2 linked regions of the Arabidopsis thaliana genome follow. The protein of the gene in region 1 interacts with the protein of each later gene in a pairwise test. Each region holds a gene or a part of one and is shown on either strand. Other genes may lie near its edges.

What was found. Proteins that work in one complex are often made in the same cells at the same time.
Region 2: the proteins of AT5G56100 (region 1) and CLH1 interact in a protein complementation assay, tested with the Arabidopsis thaliana proteins (one large-scale study listed by BioGRID).

Annotation. Positions count from the first base shown.
Region 1 is NC_003076.8:22,714,554-22,718,596, forward strand, and holds AT5G56100 (glycine-rich protein / oleosin), read left to right. Parts: upstream 1-2,363; 5' UTR 2,364-2,567; coding exon 2,568-3,020; 3' UTR 3,021-3,296; downstream 3,297-4,043. Other genes in the region: COX15 (cytochrome c oxidase 15), read left to right, coding at 81-263, 408-706, 822-1,047, 1,140-1,385, 1,479-1,589, 1,665-1,796, 1,876-2,052.
Region 2 is NC_003070.9:6,802,738-6,807,586, reverse strand, and holds CLH1 (chlorophyllase 1), read left to right. Parts: upstream 1-2,494; 5' UTR 2,495-2,663; coding exon 2,664-2,933; intron 2,934-3,086; coding exon 3,087-3,791; 3' UTR 3,792-4,101; downstream 4,102-4,849. Other genes in the region: AT1G19680 (RING/U-box superfamily protein), read right to left, coding at 18-968, 1,050-1,081, 1,348-1,678. UniProt on the Arabidopsis thaliana protein: Catalyzes the hydrolysis of ester bond in chlorophyll to yield chlorophyllide and phytol. Shows a preferential activity toward chlorophyll a. Does not seem to be required for chlorophyll degradation during senescence.

The DNA of each region.
Region 1 (4,043 bases):
AGTTGCAGAATGAGATTTGATTTGCCATACTTTTTGTCGCCTGAACGCAAAAACCTTGCTTAAACCCTAGAGAGATAGAGATGTTTCGGGCGGTTGGATCGGCTCTGAAGAGGAACAAAGAAGCGTTTAATGGAATTGCTCGAGGATTCACCACTTCGTCTCATCGAGTTTTCACTTCTAACATTACAGCTGCTTCTGTAACCTCTGCTTCGTCTTCTCCTTTAGCTGGAAACTCCTTCTATGGCTTGCGATCTCTGCTCAAGGTAGTGTGAATAATTTCCCAAAAAGGTTGATACTTTTTCGTTAAAGGTTGAGACTTTTGATCAGGGTTATGTTAAACTTGAGATTTTTGGTTACTTTTAGAGGATCCTGAGATTGGGCTCTGATCAGGATTATGTTTTGTGTAGGGTCAAAATGCTTCAATGTTTAGGAGGATGTCAACTGTAGCGTCGATAAGCTCAGAGAGTAAAGAGGGTTTGAAGCTTCTTGTCACTGGAGGACCTCAAGCTCAGAAATGGGTTGGAATTTGGCTTTTTGGTTCGGCTGCTTGGGTTTTCAGCATGGTTGTACTTGGCGGTGTAACCCGATTAACTCGATCTGGTTTATCGATGACTGATTGGAAATTTACTGGTGAATTCCCTCCTCTGTCAGATGAAGCTTGGGCTAAGGAGTTTGAGAAATATAAGCAGTCACCTGAATATAAGCGGTTAGTGTTTCGATTTTGGTAGCTAAAGCTGTTGCTTGCATTTGCGTTTTCTGTATTTGGACGAAGTCTTGATCTTGAAAATGCTGTTTGTGTTTTGGGATTTGGTGTTTTGTAGTGTGAACAAAGGGATGAACCTTGAAGATTTTAAGTTCATATATTGGATGGAGTATGCTCATCGAATGTGGGGAAGAGGATTGGGAATCATGTTTGCTTTGCCGTTTTCTTATTTTCTGCGTAAAGGGTATATTACTCTACGTCTTGGAGTTCAGCTCTCTGGTTTATTTGCGCTTGGTGCTGGACAAGGTTTCATTGGTTGGTGGATGGTTAAAAGTGGTTTAGAGGTAAGCATTAGGAAGTGTGGTAGATCCTCTTATTAGATGTTGTTATGTGCTGAATATTGTGTAACCAACCAGTAATCAGTTTGGTCTTGTAGGAGCCACCGTCTGAGTATTCTCAACCGAGGGTAAGCCCATACCGTCTTGCAGCTCACCTGACCTCAGCTTTTGCCATTTATTGTGGACTTTTCTGGACCGCTCTCTCTGTTGTTATGCCTGAACCACCAGCTGAGTCACTGGCTTGGGTTCGCGGAGCAGCTAAAGTGAAGAAGCTTGCATTACCAGTAAGCTTGATTGTTGGTATCACTGCAATTTCAGGAGCATTTGTTGCTGGAAATGATGCTGTAAGTAAACTAACAAAGTTGGATCTAAGCTTCTATTATATTAGTTACAGAAAGGAAGCTTAGTATATTGATCTCTCTGTTTGTGAATTTTAGGGTCGTGCATTCAACACATTTCCCAAAATGGGTGACACATGGATCCCAGATAATATATTTGAGATGAAACCACTTTTACGCAACTTTTTCGAGAACACAGCAACTGTTCAGGTACACCATTGACACAAAGCTTTCTCAATTTGCTTCAAGAATCTCAAAAAGACTGAAAAATTACTTAAATTTCAGCTTGATCATCGCCTTCTGGCAACCACAACATTAATCGCAATCGGAACAATGTGGTGGTTCACAAGGAAGCTAGACATACATCCAGCTGTTAAAGCTTTGATCGGAAGTACTGTTGGAATGACTGCTGTTCAGGTAAAATCAATCATCATAAACTTTAATGGAAACCTAAAATCAAAACCATTGATAAGGTTTCCCTTTTTGTATTTTGCAGGTGACATTAGGTGTATCAACGCTTCTGAGTTATGTTCCGGTTTCACTAGGAAGTGCACACCAAGCAGGAGCTTTAACACTTCTCACTTTGATGCTACTTCTCAATCACACTCTTCGGAGGCCATCACCTTCTCTTCTCAAATCTCTTCCACAAGTTGCTAAATCAAATTTCAGCTAAGCCCTCTTCACCAAAATCTTTCCTTTTTCATTATTTACTAAAAAAACAATTCTTTGGCTCACTATGCTACTAGCAAGCTTTCATCGAATCTTGTGTCAATGATGTTGTATGGTTCGAAAAATAAAGTACAAAAACAATTAACAAAAGTTTCATATGAATCCCAGAACTCTGATAACTTTCATTGATAGCTTCGTGTTGTTTGTTTCATTGCCAATAGAAAATCATTGGATAATTCTAGTTTTAGAGTCAATAATTTCTTATACCAATTTGGTTCAGTGGTAAATTTTAGTTCGGTTTTAGTTTAGATACGATTCGGTTAATTCAGTCCGGTTCAAATCCGTAAGCCTTGTGGTTGTGGATAATGTTTCGAGACAGTTTTTTGGCGTTTTGGATATACAAGACTATCCACGTGTCGTAATACTGTAGCTTATCGGTATCCACGTGTCAGTAGCCTACCATCTTCCTTTCTATATAGCCATGGTACAAAATTCTTTGTTCAACTTCACACTACTACTATGGAGAATCCTGGAGGAAGGAGAAGAAGAGACATAGCCATAACCGATGGAGAAAGAACGACCGGTTCTTCGGTTGTGGCTGCAACCGTAGCAGCTGTTGCAGTGGTAGGACCGCTTTTTGGTCTGATGAGTTTCAGCTTTGTGGCGACGGTGACTCTGTTTCTGATCGCTTCTCCATTGCTGCTGATATTTGCTCCAGCTTTTATGGTAACGGTAGCGGTTCTTGTGTCGGCTATGGTTGGTGTTGGGGTAGCTGCAGCCATGTGGATGATGGGAATAGCCGCTTTGGTATGTTGTGGCCGAGAGATTGGTATTGAAACCGGACTGGCTGGGAGGATGGTTGAGTCGGTGGTGAGAGAATTAGGTTACGGTCGGAGTCGTTACTTGCGAGACAAATCAGAGGATAGTTATTCAACTTCTTCTCCTTCTTCTCGGGATTACTCTTCTTCTTAGTTCAAACTTGGAAAAAGTCTCATGATTCATGGGAATTTCAAGAAGATGGTGAATAAAGAAACAAAAAAAAACAGAGACATGGCTATGATAAGAAAACAAAATTAAGTAGATTTTTTCGAGAGTGAAAATTTGTAATATCTATCCAAAGAAAATCTAGTAATGCTATATCATTTTTTTCAAGTTGTGTTTTTTCCCAAGTCAAGACAAATAGCAAACAGATGAAAACCAAAAATAATAGAATAAATAAATTGTAAGTTTCTTTAGGTCAAAACAGATTGTTAAGTTTAATTGATATAATAATTTTCAAAGATAAAATTAATCACAAGTTGTGGGGGATGGATTATCCGAAGTACAATCACCATGTCTATCTGAATTGTTTGAATTATCCAAATCCACATTATCCGGATTATTATCCATATTATCGAAAACATAGTTTTCCAATTTTTTTTTTTTTTTTTTGATAAAATGTGAATTATATTACCAAAAGGAAAGAGGTTATTTACAAAGCTGGGGGCAAGGAGCTTCTATGGCCAAAAAAAAATAAAAAGCCTTAGATAACTATTACAGAGAAACTGAAACTAATTTTCCAATGTTAACAAGATAAATACATATATGTCTGTAAAGTATAATGTATTAATTATCAATTGATTTTGAATTAGAAGTCTAAGAATTTTATAAGTGTCTCTCATCTAATTTTCAAATTCAAAAGTATACTACTATATCTATTCCATAAATATTACTATATATTTACATTTTGATCGATATTCAAGTTTGTAATAATGTGGATTTACCACTACTTGTTTACAACAAAAGATGACACAAGTAGGGTCCTTCGTGATTTAGAACAAAAGGTACAAGTTCGTACGCGAAAAAGGTACTTCTACAAGATTCTGTGCTTTTCACGAATGCTCTCATAGTCTCACTAATGCACACGAACGCTTTCGCAATATTCTCCGTACTTGTCGGTACTTCACGAATACATTCCCTTACAAAATGAAAAAAAAGTTGTCATAACTTTTTAAA
Region 2 (4,849 bases), on another chromosome or scaffold:
TCGTATGGATATTTTACCTCAACGCTTGAAAAAGAATGACTTAATCTTTTATTACTATGTCTGGACCAAAAGCTCTTCTTCGAGGTAGAATCCCTGGCTTTACTCCACTTGGTGCTGACGGAACCGAAGTGCCATTTCATAAAAGACTTAGACGTGGAGCCTTTGGTATTCGAACTAGGATCCATCTTCAGACCTTTTCCTTCTCGTTTCCCTAGATTCTGGAACATAAGATCCTCACATTCACTGCGGACATAACTATCTACCACACGGTTCTTACACCTTTTGTAACTCGTTGCCTTCAATTCTGCCTCGGCTTTTAGAGCTTTCCTCGATAATTTAGTAACCTGTGTCTCTGTGCATATGGGACACGTAGGATCATACTTCTCTGTTTCATTTGTCATTGTCTCTAAGCATGCCGCATGGTAAACATGGCCGCACGCTAGAACAGCAGGAATTGGAAGGTCAAACCTGGCAACTGGAGACCTTTCAGTTAAAAGCTTTGAGCAACGCCCACAAGTCTGCTGATCAACAGAAGGGGAGCATGAGAATCTGCTACTACTACACCCACTTAGTCTTCGTCGTCCGGAACCTAAGTGCTCATTATCAAAAGACCATCTCTCCCTTTGAGACTGAGCCACGAGCTCACAAAAGGCGTTTATGGACCAGCCACCTTCAGAAGAAGCAAAATGGGACCCAGTGGCAGTGTCATTACTACAGGTCGAAAGCACAAAGGACGACCTTCCTTCAGATGTTGAGTAATTATTGGGAGATTTCAATCCCAAAGTTTGACTATCAGAAACCTGCCTAAACAACTGCTGCCCAGGTGAACCTCGAGCACGTCTAGACGGAGTTGATCTGGGAGGAAGTGAATGTGTGTGAGCTGAAGGAAGATCAGAGACCGAGGTGGAACTTGACGGATTTGGTAAAACTGATGAAACAATATCTGATGAGTCAACTATATTCTTCACCTGAAGAATTAAAAGACGAGAGGGTTAAGAGACTCTGAAGGGACGAAAAGAGACTCTGATTGGAGTAAGTAATGATCTCACCTCAACACGAACAGGACTTGCCAAGGATACATCTGCCCAGAGAAAATAGATGCATGAGAGACAGGAAAAAAATCCTTCATTACAGTAAGAAAATAAAGCTGAAATGATCTCTACCAAAAAATGAAATGTCTCTCGATCTAATCCTACCAAATAAATGTTGTTACCCCTTTGACTGGATTGAGTAGACTGGAAAAGAACATCCACGAAGGAACTAAAATCGACTCAACAGTATATTCCCAAACAATGAAACTGAAAGTTCTACACTTTCCCCACAAAAAAAGTGTTTGAACGAACATACCTGAAGGAGATCGAATCGCCAAACTTGTACCCGCTAAAGGAGCTGTAACCATCGAAGCTGTGCCCATCTCTGAGTCTGCGGATTTCTGAGAGCCAAGAGTAGCTAAACCCCCAGTTTCAGATGACGGAGGTCCTCTCTCTAAGCCTAACGACAACTTATCGATGTCAATACCTCTACTCCCAACATTATGATTAGATGAATCTTTAATCTCATCAGCTACACGCCTCCTGTTGTCCCGTCGAAAACTCCACGATGGTGAACACACTGAATTATCAATAGCTCCACTGGGAACATTTCTGTCCTTTGCAGCCACACAGCAAACAGACCCCATAATCCTTAAAAGAGAGCTGTAATGAATATGTCTTACACAATCTCCATTGGTGGTGCTTCCTAATCTACCACTGAAGAACTTATCACAGTAGCAAACCACAATTCTGCATATAAACAAACAGAATGTGAACTTCGAATCAGAGCCATTATAATACATAGAGGTGAAGGCAGAGACCTCAAAATCTAACGCAGAAATCATCAATGGAACGGAATTAAAGTAAATACAATAGATGATTCTAAAATCCGGGGGTTCACCAGGGACTCACCAGAGCAACTAGGGTTCCGCAGGATTGAAACGAGGTATATGAAGATGCGGCGGAATTCGAATCCAACGGCTGAGAGAGATTTCAATTACTCGACGGAGATGGCCGCCGATCTGAGAGAGAGAGAGACGGAGGTTGGGTGCGTCGCAGGGAAATTGTGCCACGTCACCCTTCCTCTCTTCTTTTTCTGTTCTCTGTTTTTCTTGTGCTACTATTTGTTTTTGGTCAAATTTTACTTTTTTGGTCAATTTGTTTCTTTTTTTTTTACATAACAATTTTTTTTTTTTTTTTACTGAACAAACATAACAAAATGTTTTTTTTAACAAACATAACAATATGTTTCCTAATGCAATTTGATTATATTTTTTAGTAGTACTTAGTAAGTCTTGGTATGTGTTTATGGACACATCGTTTTCGGGAAACGAATTAAATTGTACTCCGAAAATGATAAATGCATGGAGTAATTGTATACCAACTAACTTGTAATAATTTGAATCAACACATGCTCTTTTGTTTACGCAGCCCATGCATTTATCGTTTTCGAAAGTATTTAATTCATTTTGTTATAACTACGATGAGAAGCCGAGAGAACCACAGAATTATAATGAATCGGATAAGAAAAATCAACATTCTCCCCCTATAAATACAAAACAACTAGCTAAAGTTCGAAGGATTCATACATAAATCTTCAACACAACTCTTTAATTATCTAGTTTAATACAAATGGCGGCGATAGAGGACAGTCCAACGTTTTCCTCTGTGGTAACTCCGGCGGCTTTTGAGATAGGCAGCCTCCCGACAACCGAGATACCGGTGGATCCGGTGGAAAATGATTCAACAGCACCGCCAAAACCGGTGAGAATCACCTGTCCAACAGTCGCCGGAACTTATCCCGTCGTTTTATTCTTCCATGGCTTTTATCTTCGCAACTACTTCTACTCTGACGTTCTTAACCACATCGCTTCGCATGGTTACATTCTTGTAGCCCCACAGGTACATAATTTAACTATACAAAAAATAATTATGAATCATTTAAAAGGATAACTTACGGTATGTAACATGTAACATGTAAAACAAAATGTACATTAATTGAGATTGATTGTTACGTGAAAAGATATAAGTTAATTTTATATTCTTGAATGACAGTTGTGCAAATTATTGCCGCCGGGAGGGCAAGTGGAAGTGGACGATGCTGGAAGTGTGATAAACTGGGCATCGGAAAACCTCAAAGCTCACCTACCAACTTCGGTAAATGCTAATGGAAAATACACCTCACTCGTGGGCCACAGCCGCGGTGGGAAAACGGCGTTTGCGGTTGCGCTAGGCCATGCCGCAACATTAGACCCATCCATCACGTTTTCAGCTCTAATAGGAATTGATCCAGTCGCAGGAACTAACAAATACATTAGAACCGATCCGCATATCTTAACGTATAAACCGGAATCTTTCGAGCTGGACATACCGGTTGCAGTGGTGGGAACCGGACTCGGACCGAAGTGGAACAACGTGATGCCACCATGCGCACCAACGGACTTAAACCATGAGGAGTTTTACAAAGAGTGTAAGGCGACGAAAGCCCATTTCGTGGCTGCGGATTACGGACATATGGATATGTTGGACGATGATTTGCCCGGTTTTGTTGGGTTTATGGCCGGTTGTATGTGTAAGAATGGGCAAAGAAAAAAGTCTGAGATGAGGAGCTTTGTAGGTGGAATTGTGGTTGCGTTTCTCAAGTATAGTTTGTGGGGTGAAAAAGCGGAGATTCGATTGATTGTGAAGGATCCTTCCGTTTCTCCGGCCAAGCTTGATCCTTCACCTGAGTTGGAAGAAGCTTCTGGTATCTTCGTCTAGATTTGTGTTATGTACTATTATCAGAGGGGTCTTGAATATTTGAAAAACCTATCAATGTTTTCTAGCTCCAAGCTAGCTATTGTTCATGTCCTAAGTTGCATGTGTATTTTTATTAAACTCGATCAAAACATTTGTTATAGTTTTACCCCAAAACTTTACAGCTTCTTCTTATACTAAAACCTAAACACATTTAAATAGCTATATAATTCTCTATATAATTCTTATATAATGAAATGTGACCAAGCTTTTCAACTTCGTTGCAATGATTCATGTAATTTGGTTTAACTCCGTCACAAACTCTATATCTTTGTAACATACCCTTATTCAAACTTTCTTGTTGTATTCTAAAGTTAATGGTATTTGTAACATATCGCAATTTCGATCTTATTTTCGTAAGGAGAAAGGAAAAATTTGCTCCTGCACTACAACATTTAATGAGAGCTCCAAACTCTACAAACAAGTCAACAATGACAAATTAATTTGGGCCTGCACTACGACAACGATACAGCAAAATGGAGACAAAACCACATTTAAGGTTTTATTGTAGGCAAATGGTCCTAAGATTGTCTGTATACGAAAGGTGCGTCGTGAGTCTCGTGACTCTTGTGTATGTGGTGGTTATTTTACTCTCGAGTTCCACGTGTGTTTGTTATAATTGTTAGTATATACGAAAGATTGTTAGTTATAACCACCAGCTGACCTGCTGAAGAAAGGAATTGAGATGAGCCGAAAAGGATCGAGTCATAAAGCTTGGACCGGTAGATATTTAAATGGGCCTAGGCCCATATTGGTCATTTACTTTCAAAGTAGATAAAACAGTTTCCCACACATCCCACTAAAGTCACATCCAAACATTACAAAAAGAAAAAAAGAAAAAAACCACCTTATCCATAACCATCCCTGACACAGGCGCCGTACACGTGGCGTCCATTAGGCTTAATTTAATCGGTGACTGTTACTTGATGACTTGTCAGTTTTCCACGAGTTAACGGTTCACGTCATCACGGCTAGACACTGAATTCTCATTTTTATCCCTTCACCACGACCATTAATCAAAT